Linked DNA regions of Arabidopsis thaliana. The protein of the gene in region 1 purifies or fractionates together with the protein of each later gene. This does not show direct contact. Each region holds a gene or a part of one and is shown in the gene's direction. Other genes may lie near its edges.

Evidence for each region.
Region 2: the proteins of SERK1 (region 1) and BBX12 purify together in Arabidopsis thaliana (affinity purification with mass spectrometry, with the first as the bait; one study listed by BioGRID). This does not show direct contact.
Region 3: the proteins of SERK1 (region 1) and GRF7 purify together in Arabidopsis thaliana (affinity purification with western blotting; one study listed by BioGRID). This does not show direct contact.
Region 4: the proteins of SERK1 (region 1) and AGL15 purify together in Arabidopsis thaliana (affinity purification with mass spectrometry, with the first as the bait; one study listed by BioGRID). This does not show direct contact.

What each region holds. Positions count from the first base shown.
Region 1 is NC_003070.9:27,016,155-27,022,625, forward strand, and holds SERK1 (somatic embryogenesis receptor-like kinase 1), read left to right. Parts: upstream 1-2,003; 5' UTR 2,004-2,420; coding exon 2,421-2,508; intron 2,509-2,936; coding exon 2,937-3,069; intron 3,070-3,154; coding exon 3,155-3,226; intron 3,227-3,343; coding exon 3,344-3,487; intron 3,488-3,590; coding exon 3,591-3,662; intron 3,663-3,757; coding exon 3,758-3,829; intron 3,830-3,912; coding exon 3,913-4,025; intron 4,026-4,155; coding exon 4,156-4,287; intron 4,288-4,445; coding exon 4,446-4,787; intron 4,788-4,892; coding exon 4,893-5,287; intron 5,288-5,373; coding exon 5,374-5,688; 3' UTR 5,689-5,963; downstream 5,964-6,471. Other genes in the region: SEC6, read left to right, coding at 61-177, 257-319, 460-591; AT1G71840 (transducin family protein / WD-40 repeat family protein), read left to right, coding at 6,270-6,387. UniProt on the Arabidopsis thaliana protein: Dual specificity kinase acting on both serine/threonine- and tyrosine-containing substrates. Phosphorylates BRI1 on 'Ser-887' and CDC48 on at least one threonine residue and on 'Ser-41'. Confers embryogenic competence.
Region 2 is NC_003071.7:14,187,382-14,191,925, reverse strand, and holds BBX12 (B-box type zinc finger protein with CCT domain-containing protein), read left to right. Parts: upstream 1-1,671; 5' UTR 1,672-1,879; coding exon 1,880-2,596; intron 2,597-2,825; coding exon 2,826-2,975; intron 2,976-3,338; coding exon 3,339-3,586; intron 3,587-3,673; coding exon 3,674-3,767; 3' UTR 3,768-4,003; coding exon of another isoform or gene 4,004-4,006; 3' UTR 4,007-4,012; downstream 4,013-4,544. Other genes in the region: AT2G33490 (hydroxyproline-rich glycoprotein family protein), read right to left, coding at 4,260-4,271, 4,467-4,544.
Region 3 is NC_003074.8:525,780-530,231, reverse strand, and holds GRF7 (general regulatory factor 7), read left to right. Parts: upstream 1-1,843; 5' UTR 1,844-1,974; exon of another isoform or gene 1,975-2,153; intron 2,154-2,288; 5' UTR 2,289-2,316; coding exon 2,317-2,793; intron 2,794-2,897; coding exon 2,898-3,020; intron 3,021-3,121; coding exon 3,122-3,238; intron 3,239-3,351; coding exon 3,352-3,432; 3' UTR 3,433-3,939; downstream 3,940-4,452. Other genes in the region: AT3G02530 (TCP-1/cpn60 chaperonin family protein), read left to right, coding at 259-463, 578-672, 776-844, 929-1,036, 1,132-1,250, 1,351-1,426. UniProt on the Arabidopsis thaliana protein: Is associated with a DNA binding complex that binds to the G box, a well-characterized cis-acting DNA regulatory element found in plant genes.
Region 4 is NC_003076.8:4,448,314-4,452,804, reverse strand, and holds AGL15 (AGAMOUS-like 15), read left to right. Parts: upstream 1-1,846; 5' UTR 1,847-2,002; coding exon 2,003-2,184; intron 2,185-2,356; coding exon 2,357-2,417; intron 2,418-2,485; coding exon 2,486-2,556; intron 2,557-2,660; coding exon 2,661-2,760; intron 2,761-2,831; coding exon 2,832-2,873; intron 2,874-3,085; coding exon 3,086-3,127; intron 3,128-3,201; coding exon 3,202-3,353; intron 3,354-3,511; coding exon 3,512-3,677; 3' UTR 3,678-3,943; downstream 3,944-4,491. Other genes in the region: PPH (pheophytinase), read left to right, coding at 1-152, 252-408, 491-742; AT5G13780 (Acyl-CoA N-acyltransferases (NAT) superfamily protein), read left to right, coding at 4,202-4,491. UniProt on the Arabidopsis thaliana protein: Transcription factor involved in the negative regulation of flowering, probably through the photoperiodic pathway. Acts both as an activator and as a repressor of transcription. Binds DNA in a sequence-specific manner in large CArG motif 5'-CC (A/T)8 GG-3'.

The sequences.
Region 1 (6,471 bases):
TGAATAATTTTATATTTCTTTGAAGTATTGCTTAATATTTCCACTGGAACTGTGTTACAGAAAGTGGAGAGCAGAATCAGAATAATGAGCGATCTGAGAGAACTTGCATCTGCAGAGAGTCTAGATGCATTTACACTCGTGTACTCGAATATTCTAGAGCACCAGCCTGACTGCCCGGTAAATATTATCTAAACAAAGCCTGCTCTGGCTTTTTACAATATCAGTATACACAGAATCTCTAATATATGGTATGCAGGCCGAGGTCGTAGAGAAGCTTGTTAGTCTGCGTGAAGGCATACCACGGAAGGACACAAAAGAGGTAAACATACCAAACTCTCTTTTTTGGAAAATGCTGGGTTATAATTGTAGCGAATCACATGGATTTTTAAACTATGGTTACGAGACTTCAAATGGCGAAGAATTCTTAAATTGACGAAATGGTTATGGTGATGAAAACAGGTGGTACAAGAGTGCAAAGAGATATATGAGAACACACTGGTAGATGGTAATCCTCCAAAGACAGGATTTGTATTCCCGAGAGTCAAGTGCTTAACTGCTTCCAAAGGATCTATGTGGCGAAAACTCACTTAATCTGTAAAACAGCGTTCAGCGTTTGCGTCCGTAACTGCTTTTCTAGTTGAGATGATGTTCTTTCTCCAAATTATGGCGTTTGCGTCCATGTCTTCTTTTTCTTTGCATGGTATCTTTCCTCTGTAAATTCTGTGTTTTCTCTTGTTTTGTTCTTTTTCTTACCTTTATTCCTGGATTTGAAAGTTGAAACGCTCGGTGGCCACTTGCACTAGGATATTATCCCGTTGTATTTAGGAGGCGTATTTTTTTGTCGCAAATTTTAATTCTACTGTTTCATTTAATTTTGATAAAATCTTCTTAAAGTTCGTTTCTCTTTCATAACAAGGTAGCTCTTATTGTTTTTAGAATTATTTCTGATTTGTGAAATTTTGAATTTGAAGCATATTTTTATCATGAATATAAAAAATGTTGGGGATTATAAAAAAGTTTGTAAATTCACTCATTGGCAGCTGATTTAGCCACTCACAATATCTAAATAAATAATTGTAAGCATTATCTTGAAATATTTTCTGAAATGACTGTTTCTTTTTTACTTTAATTAAATTTTGTTCTAGAAACCTTTTGATCATAATGAAAATAAAGAGTCCATCCACCACATGGGGTAAGCATAATGTGTGATATTTAAAGGGTAACAAATGTAATCTGCTTTTTATTTTACTTTTTACCTCTACTCAAATTGTATGGGCAGTTTTTTTTTTTTTTTTAAATGATAAGACAAGTATCTGTTTAATGGTATTGTGATGAAACAGTAGTAAAGTCATATCGGGCACGCCATACTACTTCCACAGTGGAACTTGGCCAAATTTTGTCTTTGCCGTCTCTACAGTTTCTTCCACCAAATTTTTTGTTGACAAAACTCAAATCTTTCAATCTCATCTCTGCCAAAGTTGGGTTTAGAAAGAATATCAGCAAACACTAATATCTTTATTGTTGCATGGTTTATCAATCACAAAATTCACAACCATTGTAAAAAAAAATTCACATTTTTGGTATGAGATTGCTCACATGATAGTGAACCTCTTTAACATTTTAACTTTACTTTCATAAATACGGGATTACGAATCTTACTTGCATTAAAAATTTAGAAAAGGTTTTTCTACTTAAAGAAAAAAGGGACCCAACAGAGAGAGGTTTGACCAGGAGAAACGGGTGCATAGCCTTAAGAGCTTTCAACTACTTTACCCCAAACCCAAAGCGATGTCACTTTCAACCATCTCTTCTCTCCCCCGAACCCGTTTTTTTGACCGGTCAGTTCGGGCAGCAGCACCGTTACGGGCAGCTTATATTCCTCGTCTTCCTCCTCTACACCACTGCATGCCCATAAATAAAGCCCGTTGAGATCTTTAAAAATATTAAATAATATATCAACGAAAAAGCTATTTTATTCATAAGAAGAAAAAGAGAGGAACAACAACAACACACTAATCATAGTTTCTCTGGCAGGCTTGTTGTTGCGGCTTAATAAAAAGCTCTTTTGTTATTATTACTTCACGTAGATTTTCCCCAAAAAGCTCTTATTTTTTTGTTTAAAAAAAAAAGTTTCATCTTTATTCAACTTTTGTTTTACAGTGTGTGTGTGAGAGAGAGAGTGTGGTTTGATTGAGGAAAGACGACGACGAGAACGCCGGAGAATTAGGATTTTGATTTTATTTTTTACTCTTTGTTTGTTTTAATGCTAATGGGTTTTTAAAAGGGTTATCGAAAAAATGAGTGAGTTTGTGTTGAGGTTGTCTCTGTAAAGTGTTAATGGTGGTGATTTTCGGAAGTTAGGGTTTTCTCGGATCTGAAGAGATCAAATCAAGATTCGAAATTTAGCATTGTTGTTTGAAATGGAGTCGAGTTATGTGGTGTTTATCTTACTTTCACTGATCTTACTTCCGAATCATTCACTGTGGCTTGCTTCTGCTAATTTGGAAGGTTCGTGGTTACTCAATTACTCAGCTTTACTCGTTTCTCAATTACTTTCTCGATTCTTTTTTATTTGGAGGTGAATCGCTATCTTTAGTGTCTGCATTTTGATTTATGAAAATTGTTGTTGTTCTTTGTATTTGTAAGATTTAGTGGCTAGTACTTTGAATACACTGTTTTGCTTTTCTTGTTCAGATCAACTTTGTATATTGTAAAGGCATGTTCTTTGGGTTGAAAAGCTGGGTTATTTGATATCTTAAGATTGATGTTGTTGATCCAAACATTCTCTGAAAGACTTCATTTGTTTTTGGTTTTGTAAAGAATTTGTTTAATTATTAGCCTCTAATCTCAGAGAGGCCTGTTTGAATAGTTCTCTCTTGAAATTAGACTTTTCACCAATTGATGCTAATTGTGTAGATTTGTTGTTCTTGTTATAGGTGATGCTTTGCATACTTTGAGGGTTACTCTAGTTGATCCAAACAATGTCTTGCAGAGCTGGGATCCTACGCTAGTGAATCCTTGCACATGGTTCCATGTCACTTGCAACAACGAGAACAGTGTCATAAGAGTGTAAAGCTTTCTTCTACTAATCCCACTTTTTAAACTTTGACCTCAGCGTGGTTACCGACATTTTTGTTTCTTTTGTCAAATACAGTGATTTGGGGAATGCAGAGTTATCTGGCCATTTAGTTCCAGAGCTTGGTGTGCTCAAGAATTTGCAGTATTTGTAAGTTCCACTTATGCATCATGCTTTAACAAAACAAATCCAAGATTTGACAGAAGAAGCACTGGAGTTACCTTTTGTAATTGAAATCTTTTTAACAAGTTTCTTATTTTCTTACAGGGAGCTTTACAGTAACAACATAACTGGCCCGATTCCTAGTAATCTTGGAAATCTGACAAACTTAGTGAGTTTGGATCTTTACTTAAACAGCTTCTCCGGTCCTATTCCGGAATCATTGGGAAAGCTTTCAAAGCTGAGATTTCTGTGAGTATACATATGCTTTACCGGCTCAGTTACAGTCTTTGTTTAATCTTAGGTTTTGTTCCAATTTTTGACTCTTTGCTGAAAATTTTACATGCAAGAATAGCCGGCTTAACAACAACAGTCTCACTGGGTCAATTCCTATGTCACTGACCAATATTACTACCCTTCAAGTGTTGTGAGTCCTCTCATTAACTTTCATTTATGTCTACTTCATTCTCCCTCAGTTGATTTGTTGAGTTAATGCACTTAACCTTGATGGATGCAACACAGAGATCTATCAAATAACAGACTCTCTGGTTCAGTTCCTGACAATGGCTCCTTCTCACTCTTCACACCCATCAGGTTCTATGATTTATCCTCTTCAGTTATTTCAGTTGTTGTGTCAGTGTCTGAACTTATTCTGAAACTTTCATTTCCTTGTGCAGTTTTGCTAATAACTTAGACCTATGTGGACCTGTTACAAGTCACCCATGTCCTGGATCTCCCCCGTTTTCTCCTCCACCACCTTTTATTCAACCTCCCCCAGTTTCCACCCCGAGTAAGCCTCCTCTTTTTAGTTTACATTATAGGAAACAGAAGATGAAATCTTTGCTTCTCTGTCAATCCTTTTTCTCATATAACTCATCTTGCCAATAAGGCAATAACCAAATGATCTAATTTGATTTCAGGTGGGTATGGTATAACTGGAGCAATAGCTGGTGGAGTTGCTGCAGGTGCTGCTTTGCTCTTTGCTGCTCCTGCAATAGCCTTTGCTTGGTGGCGACGAAGAAAGCCACTAGATATTTTCTTCGATGTCCCTGGTGAGTTTATTATTCGCATTAGTTTCTGTTCTTAGCCAGCAATTTTGTTTTGCAGAAAAGTATTGGAACAACTGTTAATGAAAATCAATACATAAGTCATTGTTTTTTAAGTTACAAACTCTTTTGAGTAAAATCTCGATTGCAAAATCTCTTTGCAGCCGAAGAAGATCCAGAAGTTCATCTGGGACAGCTCAAGAGGTTTTCTTTGCGGGAGCTACAAGTGGCGAGTGATGGGTTTAGTAACAAGAACATTTTGGGCAGAGGTGGGTTTGGGAAAGTCTACAAGGGACGCTTGGCAGACGGAACTCTTGTTGCTGTCAAGAGACTGAAGGAAGAGCGAACTCCAGGTGGAGAGCTCCAGTTTCAAACAGAAGTAGAGATGATAAGTATGGCAGTTCATCGAAACCTGTTGAGATTACGAGGTTTCTGTATGACACCGACCGAGAGATTGCTTGTGTATCCTTACATGGCCAATGGAAGTGTTGCTTCGTGTCTCAGAGGTAAAAACTAAACATCTTGTGCTCTCTCTCAATTACTTTGACGTGAAGTGTTTTTTCATGTTTTCCTTTATGGGTTCATAATTGTTGGTTACACTAATGACACAGAGAGGCCACCGTCACAACCTCCGCTTGATTGGCCAACGCGGAAGAGAATCGCGCTAGGCTCAGCTCGAGGTTTGTCTTACCTACATGATCACTGCGATCCGAAGATCATTCACCGTGACGTAAAAGCAGCAAACATCCTCTTAGACGAAGAATTCGAAGCGGTTGTTGGAGATTTCGGGTTGGCAAAGCTAATGGACTATAAAGACACTCACGTGACAACAGCAGTCCGTGGCACCATCGGTCACATCGCTCCAGAATATCTCTCAACCGGAAAATCTTCAGAGAAAACCGACGTTTTCGGATACGGAATCATGCTTCTAGAACTAATCACAGGACAAAGAGCTTTCGATCTCGCTCGGCTAGCTAACGACGACGACGTCATGTTACTTGACTGGGTAATAACAACATAAAACTTCCATTTGACCCCAACAAAAACCATTGAAACGAGAATCTAATCTCAAATACTTGTTTGTTGGTTTAGGTGAAAGGATTGTTGAAGGAGAAGAAGCTAGAGATGTTAGTGGATCCAGATCTTCAAACAAACTACGAGGAGAGAGAACTGGAACAAGTGATACAAGTGGCGTTGCTATGCACGCAAGGATCACCAATGGAAAGACCAAAGATGTCTGAAGTTGTAAGGATGCTGGAAGGAGATGGGCTTGCGGAGAAATGGGACGAATGGCAAAAAGTTGAGATTTTGAGGGAAGAGATTGATTTGAGTCCTAATCCTAACTCTGATTGGATTCTTGATTCTACTTACAATTTGCACGCCGTTGAGTTATCTGGTCCAAGGTAAAAAAAAAAAACATAAAATTATTGAACAATAACAAATTTTACAAGGTAGGTAGTTTTTTTACCCGTAAGTTTTCGTTTTTTTTAATTGTTAATGTAAAATGAAATCTAGCATTCAAAGATTTGTGATTTTGTGCTATGGTTCGATTAAAAGGGAAAAAAATTGTAATCTAAAGATTTGTGTAAGATTACTGTCTATTGTATGAAGTATGAACTATGAACACAATATATGTACATCCAAAAATACGTTAAACTAACTCCGCTGTTTTGCTACAAAAACCCTTTCAATTTTGTTCTACTAAACGTCGTTAGAATACACAAAAGCGAAACAGCGTCGTTTATTTATAATGCGCTACTCACATGACGCCGTTTCACTTTTGTGTATACAAACGACGTCGTTTAATAGAAAAATTTTTGGAAGGGTTTTTGTTGGGAAAAAAAGAGAAGAAGGGTTTTTGTACTTTGTGTCTTCTTGTTCCATCATCGTGACACGTCACACCTCCATTCATCTCCGCCGTCCTCTTCCTGTTCTTAGTCGCGGCTGGAAAAAACTGTGGTGAGAGAGAGAAGAAGAAGAAGAAGAAGATGAGTAATAATACTAATAATACAGAGATGAATAATCTAGCGATGGAAGAAGAGGATGAAGGAGAGATTTTCCTTGGTGAATCCGATGTCCTCCGTGAAATCGATGTCGACGAAGAAGGTTTTTTTTTATCTCCTTCAATCGTGATTTTTTTATCGTATGTATATATGTGTATGTGTATGTGACTCTTCTATTTTCGATTCA
Region 2 (4,544 bases), on another chromosome or scaffold:
CACCATACCATTATATATATAGGGAATAAAGGTATTGTCTGGAGGAAAATGACGTTTCCGTAAACAAAATAATGATAAAACAAAAATAGTGAAAAGAGTGAAAGAGAGAAGTGCAAAAGGGAATCTGTTGGAAGTGTAGAAAGAGAAAGCGACGACCACTTCAATCCAGTGTTGTTCTTTCTTTCTTTTTTCCTAGAAAATTAAAGATATTGCTTTTTACCAAATAATAATTTTATCTTGGTGGTAGAAAGGTTTGCAAGAGTTGTAATATACAGAAAGAGAGACAATGGGACCTAAGAAGGGAATCTCTGAGGAGAGACAGAGATGTTTCAGATCGAAAGAGACGCCAAATTGTGTCTGTCACTCTGTTCTTGTGTGTGGGTCTCCTCTCCTTCCTTCCTTATCGAATCCATATTCCATTTTGCTTTTTTTTCCCTAGAAGATTTTTAAGAATCCGAATTTTAACATAATCTTTTGTTTAGTATAATTCACTTTCCTTCTTTTTTAATTACTTTTTAAGGGTTCTTTAAAGGTTGTGTTTAGTTAAATTTTCGTTTCTCTATTATGAATTCAAGTGATATAGAGAATAAAGATTTAAGTGATATAGATGATAAAAGTTCACTTGTTAAAGAATAGTTGAATATTGAAGTCCTTTATGGTTTCGAAACCGAATTTACAACGTGATTTTCTGTAGGTTTTCTACATAATAAAGAATCAAAATTCGTAAAAGTAAGAATATAGAATATCCATTCCAAGTGAGTTTGAAACACATAATAGCTAAGTAACATGTGAAAAAACCTTAGGGCATAGGAAAATAGCAAAGGTTGGATGTTTTGTTTCTCGCACCACATAATGGGCAATGATTGTAACACCATTCATCTTCTATTCATATAACAACACAAGTACACAACCAATAATGATTTGTCACATAGGTGAAAGCGACACATGTGTGGGAGGAAAATTATGTTCGCTGAGCTTGATGAATCAATGAGAGAAAACATGGCTTTAAGAGATGAATCAAAGATGGATGTAAAAGGTAAAAAACACATCCTCATCCGATTGAAAAGTGGAAATCAGTAATTTATTTCCAACGTTTACTATATTCCAAACCTATGGACAAACATCTTGAGTTTTGGACAATTCTTAGAGATATGTTATTGATATTCGACTAAAAGATAATAACCTTTCTAAAAGAGACCAAGAAAGCAATCTCGTTACCAAGATACCAATGTCAAAAATAGAATGTTGTTATTGACATTCAAAATGACATTGCACAATGTTTCAAGATGTGCTACAACAGAACTTGCAAGATTTTTGGATATTTGGATACTTGGTGTGAATTCATGGCTGGATTTAGGATATGTTCCTAGTATATATATATTGACTTATTTGTTTTCTAAATTGCCAAATAATGATCATCTGGAACGATTTACGAGTTAGTAAACTTCGTACATGTGAAATATTCTCCTTATCGATCATGTCGTTAACATCCTAACGTCCCATCCAAATAATGGGCTTAGAATTGGGCTTAGCAGAAACATGGGCTAAAATCCTTGTGCGTGGATCTGAAAGAAAGGCAGCCAATTAATGTGCCTAAATCCATACACTGTAATGCAGCCAATTATTTCTCAAGTAATTAATTACCTATGTAAATGCAACTTTATTTCCGGTACAACAGTTAGATATTTTCAATTAATGACATCTTCTTCTTCTCCTTTCACTGCAAAACCGAAAGCTTGAGACTTTGAGATTATGTCTATGTCATCTTCTTCTTCTTCCATCGATCACTTCATCACCTTTCGTCATCTTGATCTTATTCTCCACTGTATAAAATCAGCGAGATTTTAAGGGATTGTGAAGGTACCATCTTAAACACAAAATGGGTACTTCTACTACAGAGAGTGTGGTGGCGTGTGAATTTTGCGGCGAGAGAACGGCGGTTCTGTTTTGTAGAGCCGATACGGCGAAGCTTTGTTTGCCTTGTGACCAGCACGTGCACTCGGCGAACCTTCTCTCGAGGAAGCATGTTCGTTCTCAGATCTGTGATAACTGTAGCAAAGAGCCGGTGTCCGTACGTTGCTTCACAGATAATCTCGTATTGTGTCAGGAGTGTGATTGGGATGTTCACGGAAGCTGTTCCTCCTCCGCGACGCATGAACGCTCCGCCGTGGAAGGGTTTTCAGGTTGTCCTTCGGTTTTGGAGCTTGCTGCTGTGTGGGGAATCGATTTAAAGGGTAAGAAGAAAGAAGATGACGAAGACGAATTGACTAAGAATTTTGGGATGGGGTTGGATTCGTGGGGTTCTGGATCTAACATCGTTCAAGAACTGATTGTTCCTTATGATGTGTCTTGCAAAAAGCAAAGCTTTAGCTTTGGGAGGTCTAAGCAGGTAGTGTTTGAACAGCTTGAGTTACTGAAGAGAGGCTTCGTTGAAGGCGAAGGAGAGATTATGGTTCCGGAGGGAATCAATGGCGGAGGAAGCATTTCTCAGCCATCTCCGACGACGTCGTTTACTTCTTTGCTTATGTCTCAAAGTCTTTGTGGTAATGGTATGCAATGGAATGCTACTAATCATAGCACTGGCCAGAACACTCAGGTCCATTTCTCTATCTCTCTCTGGCAATTGATTTTAGGGTTTTAAGTTTGGTCATGTGTTCTTGCTTTTGTGCTTAGAACATGTTACAGTAACTTCAGTTGGATCTTTAGGTCTCCAAATCTGTTAAGTTACCTGTCGGAACGTTGATTATTCTTTCTTGGTTGTCCTAATTAGAGATAAGACTCTGTTTTATGGCCTGGGGTTCACAGTGGAATATACGTTGTTGCAGATATGGGATTTTAACTTGGGACAGTCGAGGAACCCTGATGAACCTAGTCCAGTCGAAACTAAAGGCTCTACTTTCACATTCAACAACGTTACTCATCTCAAGAACGATACCCGAACCACCAATATGAATGCTTTCAAAGAGAGTTACCAGGTATTACATTGTTATTAGGTTTGGAATTGTAAACCATTTTATTTATCTCACAAATTGACAAACACAACGCACATTGCAGAACGTAATTAGAGTTTGTTCTATAGACAATAAACTCCCCCGATCCCTAAATTCAATCCCAAAACACTCCATACCTTAAACATTTGAATATTCCCTCATATATAGCTTAAGTTGGTGACTGATATACTGGTCTGGTAGTAGCTACATCTCATGGGTTTATTTCTATTGGTTAGAACATCTTGGAATGAATGAAACCTGATGTATTTATATCATAATTGATAAGTCAAACTACTATTTTTGGTATATCTTTGTCGGTGAACTGTGATACTTATAAGTAGAATGTAGCAGGAGGATTCCGTCCACTCAACTTCTACCAAGGGACAGGAAACATCTAAGAGCAACAATATTCCTGCTGCCATTCACTCGCATAAAAGTTCTAACGACTCCTGTGGCTTGCATTGCACGGAACATATTGCTATTACTAGTAATAGAGCCACAAGATTGGTGGCGGTAACGAATGCTGATCTAGAGCAGATGGCACAGAACAGAGATAATGCTATGCAGCGGTACAAGGAAAAGAAGAAAACGCGGAGGTAATGATGTTCTCCATTTTTTCTTTTAGTTTCCCTTTTGTAAGTTGATTGTCTTTCGAAATCGCTAATTTGTAATTGCTTCAGCAGATATGATAAGACCATAAGATATGAAACGAGGAAGGCGAGAGCCGAGACCAGGTTGCGTGTTAAGGGCAGATTTGTGAAAGCTACAGATCCTTAGATGTCTCTCCACGTTAGGTTTTACATTTGAGATCCTAAGTTAGGAACTTTTTTTGTTTTTTCTACTTTCAACTACCTTGTAAATGTAAATGATCGATCTTCAGCTGCATAATGTGTGGCCAGATTTTTGTAATTTTTACGTTTAACCTTCTAGAAGCAAAGTTTCTTAACCCAATCAAAAGAAGACAGACTCCACAGAAGTTAAACCCGTAAATCTCGGACGTAAAACATGTCACATCACTGGACAAAAAAAAAAAAAAAAGCTTCGTTGAGTGATAGTAGAAAAACCAAAATTCCTCAGGCAATTATTATTAACTCTGTTTGCCTCTATTTTTGTCATCATTCTCAAAAGGGATCAACTACTATATGTAATATACAACTAAGATCATCCATGAGACTAAAAATTGGAGGATATTTACATATATCTGCAACTATAGGGAATGCCTTCCTCCTACAGTTTTTAGGCAGCTACAAACGTCTTACACCTTACATCTTAAATCCTCCTCTGCAAATTCACCAATTAGAACGTATATCAGCAATTCTAGATTTTACACTTAAGCAGAACTTTGCGGAACACATGAAGGGAACCAAAAATCGGATTGCCCACATCTACTTAAACGTGACACACATGATGACTTTTTTACTCTAAACCACACAAAAAACTAATAGACAGTGAAAAGAAGTAAAATTAATGGTTTACCTCTTGTTTGGACATCATTAGGTGGTCTGCACGTTCGGGAAGAGCCTGTGGCGGTGGATGGATCAATGACATTGGGGT
Region 3 (4,452 bases), on another chromosome or scaffold:
CTTTGTATTTTTTTCCGGCATCTGATTGTGAGAAAAGCATGAAAAAATGTAGACGAAGATTGTGAAATCAAGTGAACTGAAATTTTAACCAAATAGAGAAAAGGTTATCCACTAAGAGTATTCACCTAGAATCTCTTAAATGCCTGGATCTTCCACCAAGCTTGTTTTTTTTTGTCTTGTGCTCTGTTTCTTGTGTCTACAAGTTGTTACAAGAGAATTATCTTTCTGTTCCTTATATATGTATATATGTATCTCCAGATAATCGCCCTTAGAAGGGCAAAGAGGAGGAACATGGAACGTTTGGTTTTGGCATGTGGTGGAGAAGCTGTGAACTCTGTCGATGACTTGACCCCTGATTGTCTTGGTTGGGCTGGACTTGTATATGAGCACGTTCTTGGAGAGGAGAAGTACACATTTGTTGAGCAAGTGAAGAATCCTCATTCATGTACTATCCTCATAAAAGGTACAAATGCCCAAACTTCTATCTCTTGCCAGCTAAGTTTTGAAGATCAATTTTGCTTATCTTCATATGTGTGGTCATTGATTATCTATGATTATGATTTGGTTTTCTTTATAGGGCCTAATGACCACACTATTGCTCAAATTAAGGACGCTGTCCGTGATGGTTTAAGATCAGTTAAGAATACCCTAGAAGATGAGTGTGTCGTATTAGTAAGTACCTTCTTCTCCACAAAGATCAAATCCATTGCTATATCAGTGTGATTGTTTTGGTTTTGGGCGCATGTGGTTTATTGACATCTGTTTCTTTCTGTAGGGAGCTGGAGCTTTTGAAGTTGCAGCAAGACAACACTTAATCAATGAAGTCAAGAAAACCGTTCAAGGGGTGAGTAGAAAGCAATATTCCTTTGCTCCAATACCAATTCTTGTTTTTTTCCGGTTGCTAATGTAAATTGTGGGCAAATTGCAGCGCGCTCAACTCGGTGTTGAAGCTTTTGCTAATGCCCTTCTCGTAGTGCCTAAGACGCTTGCTGAAAATGCTGGGCTTGACACTCAAGACGTTATCATTTCTCTAACGGTATTATTCTTGTATTTTCCTCTTCTGCCACTATCGATTATGCTCCAAGTAAAATTATGTTTGTGTTTATCTACTGAGTTTCGATGTATATACAGAGTGAGCATGACAAAGGAAACATCGTGGGACTAGACCTACAGGATGGAGAACCCGTCGACCCTCAGCTTGCCGGCATTTTCGACAATTACTCGGTGAAACGCCAACTTATCAATTCAGGGTATGTGCAGAACCAAATGGAAATTTGTATAATGGAGTCTTTTAATTCAGTTGCGGTTGAGTTCAGGTTGTTAAAACGGTTGTTTGGTATTGTATTGCAGGCCGGTGATTGCTTCGCAGTTGCTATTAGTGGATGAAGTGATTCGTGCAGGAAGAAATATGAGGAAGCCTACTTAAAACAAGACTATCTTTTGTTTTCAATTTTTTCTTACTTTCCCTTTCGTGTTTTGAGTATTAGCATATGAATACTATTTATTTTTTACTCGTTATCCTTTGTTGTCTTAGATAATTTTGAATGTATCTTTTTTTTCTATCTTTTGTATCAAACAAACATGATGAATGTTTTGATTGTGGTTTCTAGCGAAAACAGAACAAGATAAAGATTTCAGAATTTTAAGAAAATGGAACCAGATTTATGTGTAAACAAACGCAATTAAAAGTCAAATCAACAACAATGCACGGCATACTTTAATTGATTTTTATTTTTCTAGTAACGGAGTCAAGGCCCAATTAAATTATTTATTTTCCACGATCATTAAAGTCTTTAACGGGTCAACACCGTTAGACACTTGTCATACTATTACTGGGCCTTATTTTTCTCTTTACTTTCTCTGAAAATCAAAGCCCATCTCTTCTTCCTTTTTTTTCCCCTAATTTCTCACTTCCCCCTCATTTCGCGTCTCGACCTTCGAATTCGACAAATCCCTAATTCCAAAATCCTCTCGGTAAGCTACGGATCTAGTCTCTCTTTTGCTCATAGTTCGACGAAATCGTCTCTCTGTTGCTCGTTCATGTTTTCGTTTCGTTTTGTGGACTTAATCTTCTCTGTGTTCGTTGTTATCTGGAGATCTGGCAAAATCTCGAATGATTTTGATAGATTCTAGGTTTCTAGGTGTATCTATCGGTATAGTGTTCGTTTTGTCTTGATTTGTTGGTCTCGACGATTTATCTGTTGTTTCTTTTGTTTTGTTGGGAATAATGTTGATATAGCCAAGCTACTGTGATGTTGATGAAGTTTGAAATGAATTTTTGAAAACAGGATCTAAAAGAGTGTGTGATAACATAAGATGTCGTCTTCTCGGGAAGAGAATGTGTACTTAGCCAAGTTAGCTGAGCAAGCTGAACGTTATGAGGAAATGGTTGAGTTCATGGAGAAAGTTGCAAAGACTGTTGACACCGATGAGCTTACTGTCGAAGAGAGAAACCTCTTGTCTGTTGCTTACAAGAACGTCATTGGTGCTAGGAGAGCTTCCTGGAGGATCATATCTTCCATTGAACAGAAGGAAGAAAGCAGAGGAAACGATGATCATGTTTCCATTATCAAGGACTACAGAGGAAAGATCGAAACTGAACTCAGCAAAATCTGTGATGGAATACTCAATCTTCTGGATTCTCACCTTGTTCCCACTGCATCTTTGGCCGAGTCCAAAGTCTTTTACCTCAAAATGAAAGGAGATTACCACAGGTACCTTGCTGAGTTTAAGACTGGAGCTGAGAGGAAAGAAGCTGCTGAGAGCACTCTGGTTGCTTACAAGTCAGCTCAGGTAAACTCTTTAAGTTTCAACATCTATCTATCTTATTTTGCTGCTTGAGACCAGTAAAGGAGCTGTCATGATGAATGCTTATGTGTGTTTTTCTTCTAATGTAGGATATTGCACTTGCTGATTTAGCTCCTACTCATCCGATTAGACTGGGACTTGCTCTTAACTTCTCTGTCTTCTACTACGAGATTCTCAACTCACCTGATCGTGCCTGCAGTCTCGCAAAACAGGTTTGTATTTTGTCATACGGGATGTTATGATGCTTCCAGACTTTGTAACACTTATTCCAGCACCAAATTGCTTAATGATATTCTCTCAATTGTTTTGACAGGCTTTTGATGAGGCCATTTCTGAGCTGGATACATTAGGAGAAGAATCATACAAAGACAGTACGTTGATAATGCAACTTCTCCGTGACAATCTGACCCTTTGGAACTCTGACATCAATGTACACCTTTGTCTTCCTCCTTTTGCTTTTCCCTATAAACTCTTATATATGCAGTCTAAGCTTCTTTTACTCAGAAATTTCTCTCAAACGCTGATTGTGTTGCTGATTTTTAGGATGAGGCGGGCGGTGATGAGATCAAGGAGGCGTCAAAACATGAGCCGGAAGAGGGGAAACCAGCTGAGACAGGGCAGTGACCAGAGAGAGAGGGAGAGACATTTCTAAGTATGTATGGTATGGATTTTCCAAAAACATATGATATGATTAGGGGATTTGTAGAAGCAGAGAGAAAGATCTTTATTTGATTTTCTCCAAAAATCTCTGTTCCCTTTTTTTTTTATTGGGTTATTAAAGCTGTTTGAGTCTTTGGTTCCTGCTTCGTTGCTTGTTAGTATTTAGGAAGTGAAGAAACAAAACTTTGAATTATTGCTTTCCATTCAACTCGTCATAAATTATCATAATCAGTGTATTATTTACTTAGTTCTTATTAGGGTATTCTGATTTTTGCTTAACGCAACAGAATTTGTGTTAACCCATTTTTAAAGAATCTTCAATCTTGTATCATTGGTCGGGTCAGTCGGATATATGGTCCGCTTTTGGTTTAAGACCGGAACAACGAAAGCCGGGGATATTGAGCCTTTCTGATGATGCGCCTCCGGGCGGTAATGCTATTGGGACATGGATTACATTCTGATCAATAGGGACTAATAGTATGGATTTACTTTGTACTTCAGACTAGGGTTTTTTTTTTTTTTTTTTTTTTTTTTTTTTTAAATATTATTAATCCTCATCCCAAATGACCTTGGGCCGCAACAAAAACAACATCAAATCCAGTTACAAAATTAGCAAATCGGAAAACATGTCGGCAAAGAAGGAAGATCGCCGCTTGTTGATGGAAGCTAGCAGAGAGACCGGAGCATTAGATCCGGCGGGCTCAAGCCCTACAGTTTCGAGGCCGCAACCGATGCTCGAGAAACTCCGACGAAAGAGACCGGTTTTCGTCCTCGAATCAACCCCACCGGCGCACCAACCCACCACAAGACTCCCAGAAAGCTAGTCTCCCCAACAAGCACATCGACGGCACCGGATTCTGAAGAAGCAATCCGATACACTGGACGGTAACCCTTCCTTCCCAAACCGGTACAGATCCGAAATCCCAGAGCTATTGCGTTTCAACCGGCTCGATGGATGCAAAATTGTGACAAATCTAAAGGAAG
Region 4 (4,491 bases), on another chromosome or scaffold:
CTTAAACAGGTCTACACAGACCATTCTATCAATGTGGATAAAGTATTCTCACGTATTGTGGAGGTCACACAGCATCCGGCTGCTGCAGCATCGTTTGCTTCAATCATGCTTGCTCCTGGTGGAGAGCTATCTTTCTCCGAAGCTTTATCTAGGTATAAGACAGTGTGGTTTCTTGTTTTTATATGTTTTTTACTCTGCGTGATTGGTGTTATTGCTTATGAGGAATGCTGCTATTTGATGGTTTATGCTAGGTGTAAGGAAAACAATGTTCAGATATGTCTCATGTATGGAAGAGAAGATCCATGGGTGAGACCGTTATGGGGAAAGAAGATAAAGAAGGAAATCCCCAACGCTCCATACTACGAGATCAGCCCAGCGGGTCACTGCCCACACGATGAAGTCCCTGAGGTATAATGAACTAGTCAATAAATTCTTCAAACTCTGCAATTAGGTATAATGAACCCACCATTTGGGATATGAAAACGAGCAGGTGGTGAACTATCTGATGCGCGGGTGGATCAAGCACCTGGAGTCTGGTGGTTTTGAAGCGCTCCCGCTTTTGGAGGACACTGAAGAAGATTGGGAGGAGTCCAGGATTGGTAGAGAAATTGAGTTCCCGAGAGATGGTTGGAAAAAAGCAGTGAATCTGTGGTTATATGGGTCAAACTATACGTACTGGAGAGGAGTTAGAGAATCTTTCAGATCCAGTTTTATAAGGGTGTTTGGAGGGAAGTCTGCATAGAAGAAGCATGGAACAGTCGTCTAGTGTAAATTAATTGTAATCTATGTTGCATCCGATGCTAGCTATATAATGTTGTCTGTAGAATCAAGTTTCTAAAATGTTCAAAAGGAAAAGTTAGAAAAATATCTACTTGATAGTTAGTCACCTAAATCGAAGGAACTCCTTTCTTGCATTGTTGTATATAATCCACAGGTTCAGATTAATATAGGAAGGCGACATTGCAGGCCATATGAGTTGTCTTAAAAATTGGAAGAGAGCTTGAAATTACTCTGATTCCAAAAGAAGAAAGTGAGTGTATTTGAATTGTTAATAATTTCCAAAGGTGAACAGTTTTATTGAACATGTATGGTGTTTGAAAAGACGTATCATTGGTTACTTTTCTCGAGGCAAAGTCGTATCCTTGACCATATTCTTCCCTTAGCTTGAATCTCATTTTTGTCAGTTCCACGGTCAACAAATAAGGGACTGAATTAGAAGGCTATCCAAACCACTTTTGAGAAACTTACTTACACAGGCTATATATCCAACATGAGATTTGGTCTGCTTCTTTTCTTAATTTGTTTCTTAGTCTCTGATAAAATCTCGTTATCTATTTATTGATTTGAGTGTCAAAAAAAAAAAACCGGTGTTACAAAGCTGCTACTAAAGTGTCGTTCTACACTAGTTGTAAGAAATTACTTCTCAGTATGTTTTTTTATCTCTCACTAGTTGATAACATAATGGTAACCATCAAACAATGCTAGTTGTTGCAATTTTATTCTTGGGGGTACTTTGAAATTGTTTCTAATTGTTGCTCTGAACTTTTTTTTATTTTTATGTCGGTCAACATTGTTGGTCTGATTTATGTCTTACAACAACATTAAAGAGAAAATACACTAGTACTAATAAATCTAATTTTAAAGGGAAGGAAAAAAGAGGAAAGAAAAAAACAACTTTAGGAAGAAAAGGGAAAGTAGGACCCAGAAGAACTGACAAAATCCTCCAAATGTGGCAAAAAGGTATCATGCAAAAAACCCTAAAATTGAAAAAAGAGAGCACGCAAAACAGTGGCCATGCAACACACAACATTCATTACCGAGTTTTTACCTTTCTTTCTTTTTTCTATAAAAACAAAAATATTCCATCCAAATTTAGCAATCTTTTGTGTTCCCATTAATAGATTCCCAAAAAGCACTTCTAAACCCATTTTGGAATACATTGAACCTTTCCTCTTCTTCTTCTTCCTTCTACCTTCTTCTCTCTGTTCAATTTTGGGGGAAAATGGGTCGTGGAAAAATCGAGATAAAGAGGATCGAGAATGCGAATAGCAGACAAGTCACTTTTTCCAAGAGGCGTTCTGGGTTACTTAAGAAAGCTCGTGAGCTCTCTGTTCTTTGTGATGCTGAAGTTGCTGTCATCGTCTTCTCTAAGTCTGGCAAGCTCTTCGAGTACTCCAGTACTGGGTAACACTTATTTCTTTTTGATTCAATTTTGTTTTTGCATGTCTTGTCTTGTTGTGATTAGAATCGATTTCGGGAACTGTAATTGATTTTTGTTTTTGCATGTTTGTTAAGATTAAAAGTTTTCTGATTGAGCTGAAGAGAGTCCTAATTTTGAATTCTCATTTGATTTTAGAATGAAGCAAACACTTTCCAGATACGGTAATCACCAGAGTTCTTCAGCTTCTAAAGCAGAGGTGAGAATCATTCATTCTTGTCTCATATATCTTGAAATTGTTTTTTTGAAAATCTGATTGCTGTTTAGAACCTCCAGGAGGATTGTGCAGAGGTGGATATTTTAAAGGATCAACTTTCAAAGCTTCAAGAGAAACATTTGTATGGAAACTAAATAAATCTCACTATGCTTGTTCATTACTTTATTCTTCTCTACTTTGTGTTTGTTTTTAGTGTTTGGCTTTGTGTGTTCTGTTCTGTTGTAGACAACTGCAGGGCAAGGGCTTGAATCCTCTGACCTTTAAAGAGCTGCAAAGCCTTGAGCAGCAACTATATCATGCATTGATTACTGTCAGAGAGCGAAAGGTAACTAGTAATATCACTCTTCCATCATCATTTCTCTTTGCATTGTCCTGATTATGGTTATCTGATTTCAGGAACGATTGCTGACTAACCAACTTGAAGAATCACGCCTCAAGGTAAACACTAGCTTTTCCTCTCTAGCTTCCAAATGTAAGCTTATGTGTAATCACATGATTCTGAACCTTGTTAAAACCAGTGGCTATCCTTTGACAAGCTCATGCTCTAACTAGCTAGTGTGCAGTTTATTTGTCTTAAGACTCCTATATAACTAGGTACAGAGTGCAAAAGTATAATTCGTTTCTTGATTAGCCATATATATACTTTGCAGGAACAACGAGCAGAGTTGGAAAACGAGACCTTGCGTAGACAGGTTCTTATTATTTTTGTTGAATCATCTCCTAATGAACGCTTCTTCCTCTGACTTGTAATTACTTGTTGAAACAGGTTCAAGAACTGAGGAGCTTTCTCCCGTCGTTCACCCACTATGTTCCATCCTACATCAAATGCTTTGCTATAGATCCAAAGAACGCTCTCATAAACCACGACAGTAAATGCAGCCTCCAGAACACCGATTCAGACACAACTTTGCAATTAGGGTATTGCTCTTTTAAGTCTATTTGCTGTCATTGGTTGCATTATTGGAAAGCTGATTTAAGATAAATATAAGTCTTTTTCCTCCTCTGTTAGTTATGCATATGCCTTAACACTCACTAACTGGAGTTATAAAATTCTTACTACTTGTGTTTTCTCCAAGGTTGCCGGGAGAGGCACATGATAGAAGGACGAATGAAGGAGAAAGAGAGAGCCCGTCAAGCGATTCAGTGACAACAAACACGAGCAGCGAAACTGCAGAAAGAGGGGATCAGTCTAGTTTAGCAAATTCTCCACCTGAAGCCAAAAGACAAAGGTTCTCTGTTTAGTCCTAGAAAAGTATGGGAGAAGGCTACTAATGTTTCCTCTTTAGCAAGTATCCGATTGTTTTAAAAGTAATTTTAGAGGGATACTTGCAAAAAGAAGAGAAGATTCAGTTATCTAATCTCTGCACCAACTCTCTTTGTCCTTCTTCTTTTGATTATTTCTCGACTGTCTCTCCTATAAAAAAGATATGCCTAGCTGAGAGTTTGAAATCCATAATCTTTACAAGGCACAGAGTTATTTGACATCTCGTATAGTAAGAAAATTTGCGGAGAAATAAGCTTATAGAAAGTGAAGGTTATCGGAATCTTCCTACTCCATTACAATCAAGGCCCAATTGGACCTCAAATCCTAAACTGAAAAAGTTTATAATGAATTTCATTAAATGCCCCTAAAATATAAGCAAAAGTTTCAATAAAGACCTCATATTTCTCTATAATTACAATTCGTCCCCAGATTAATAAAGCCCAAAGGCATTAGACCGAAAACCCTAACCCCTCTTTATCCGCGCGAGAGCAATTGAGCAGCCATGGTTTGCATCAGGCGAGCGACGGTGGATGATCTGCTGGCGATGCAAGCCTGCAATCTCATGTGTCTTCCTGAGAACTACCAGATGAAGTACTACCTCTACCATATCCTCTCATGGCCTCAGCTTCTCTACGTCGCCGAGGACTACAATGGTCGCATCGTTGGCTATGTCTTGGCTAAGATGGAGGAAGAGAGCAACGAGTGCCACGGCCACATCACTTCTCTCGCCGTTCTTCGTACCCATCGCAAGCTCGGTCTCGCCACTAAGCTCATGACCGCCGCTCAAGCTGC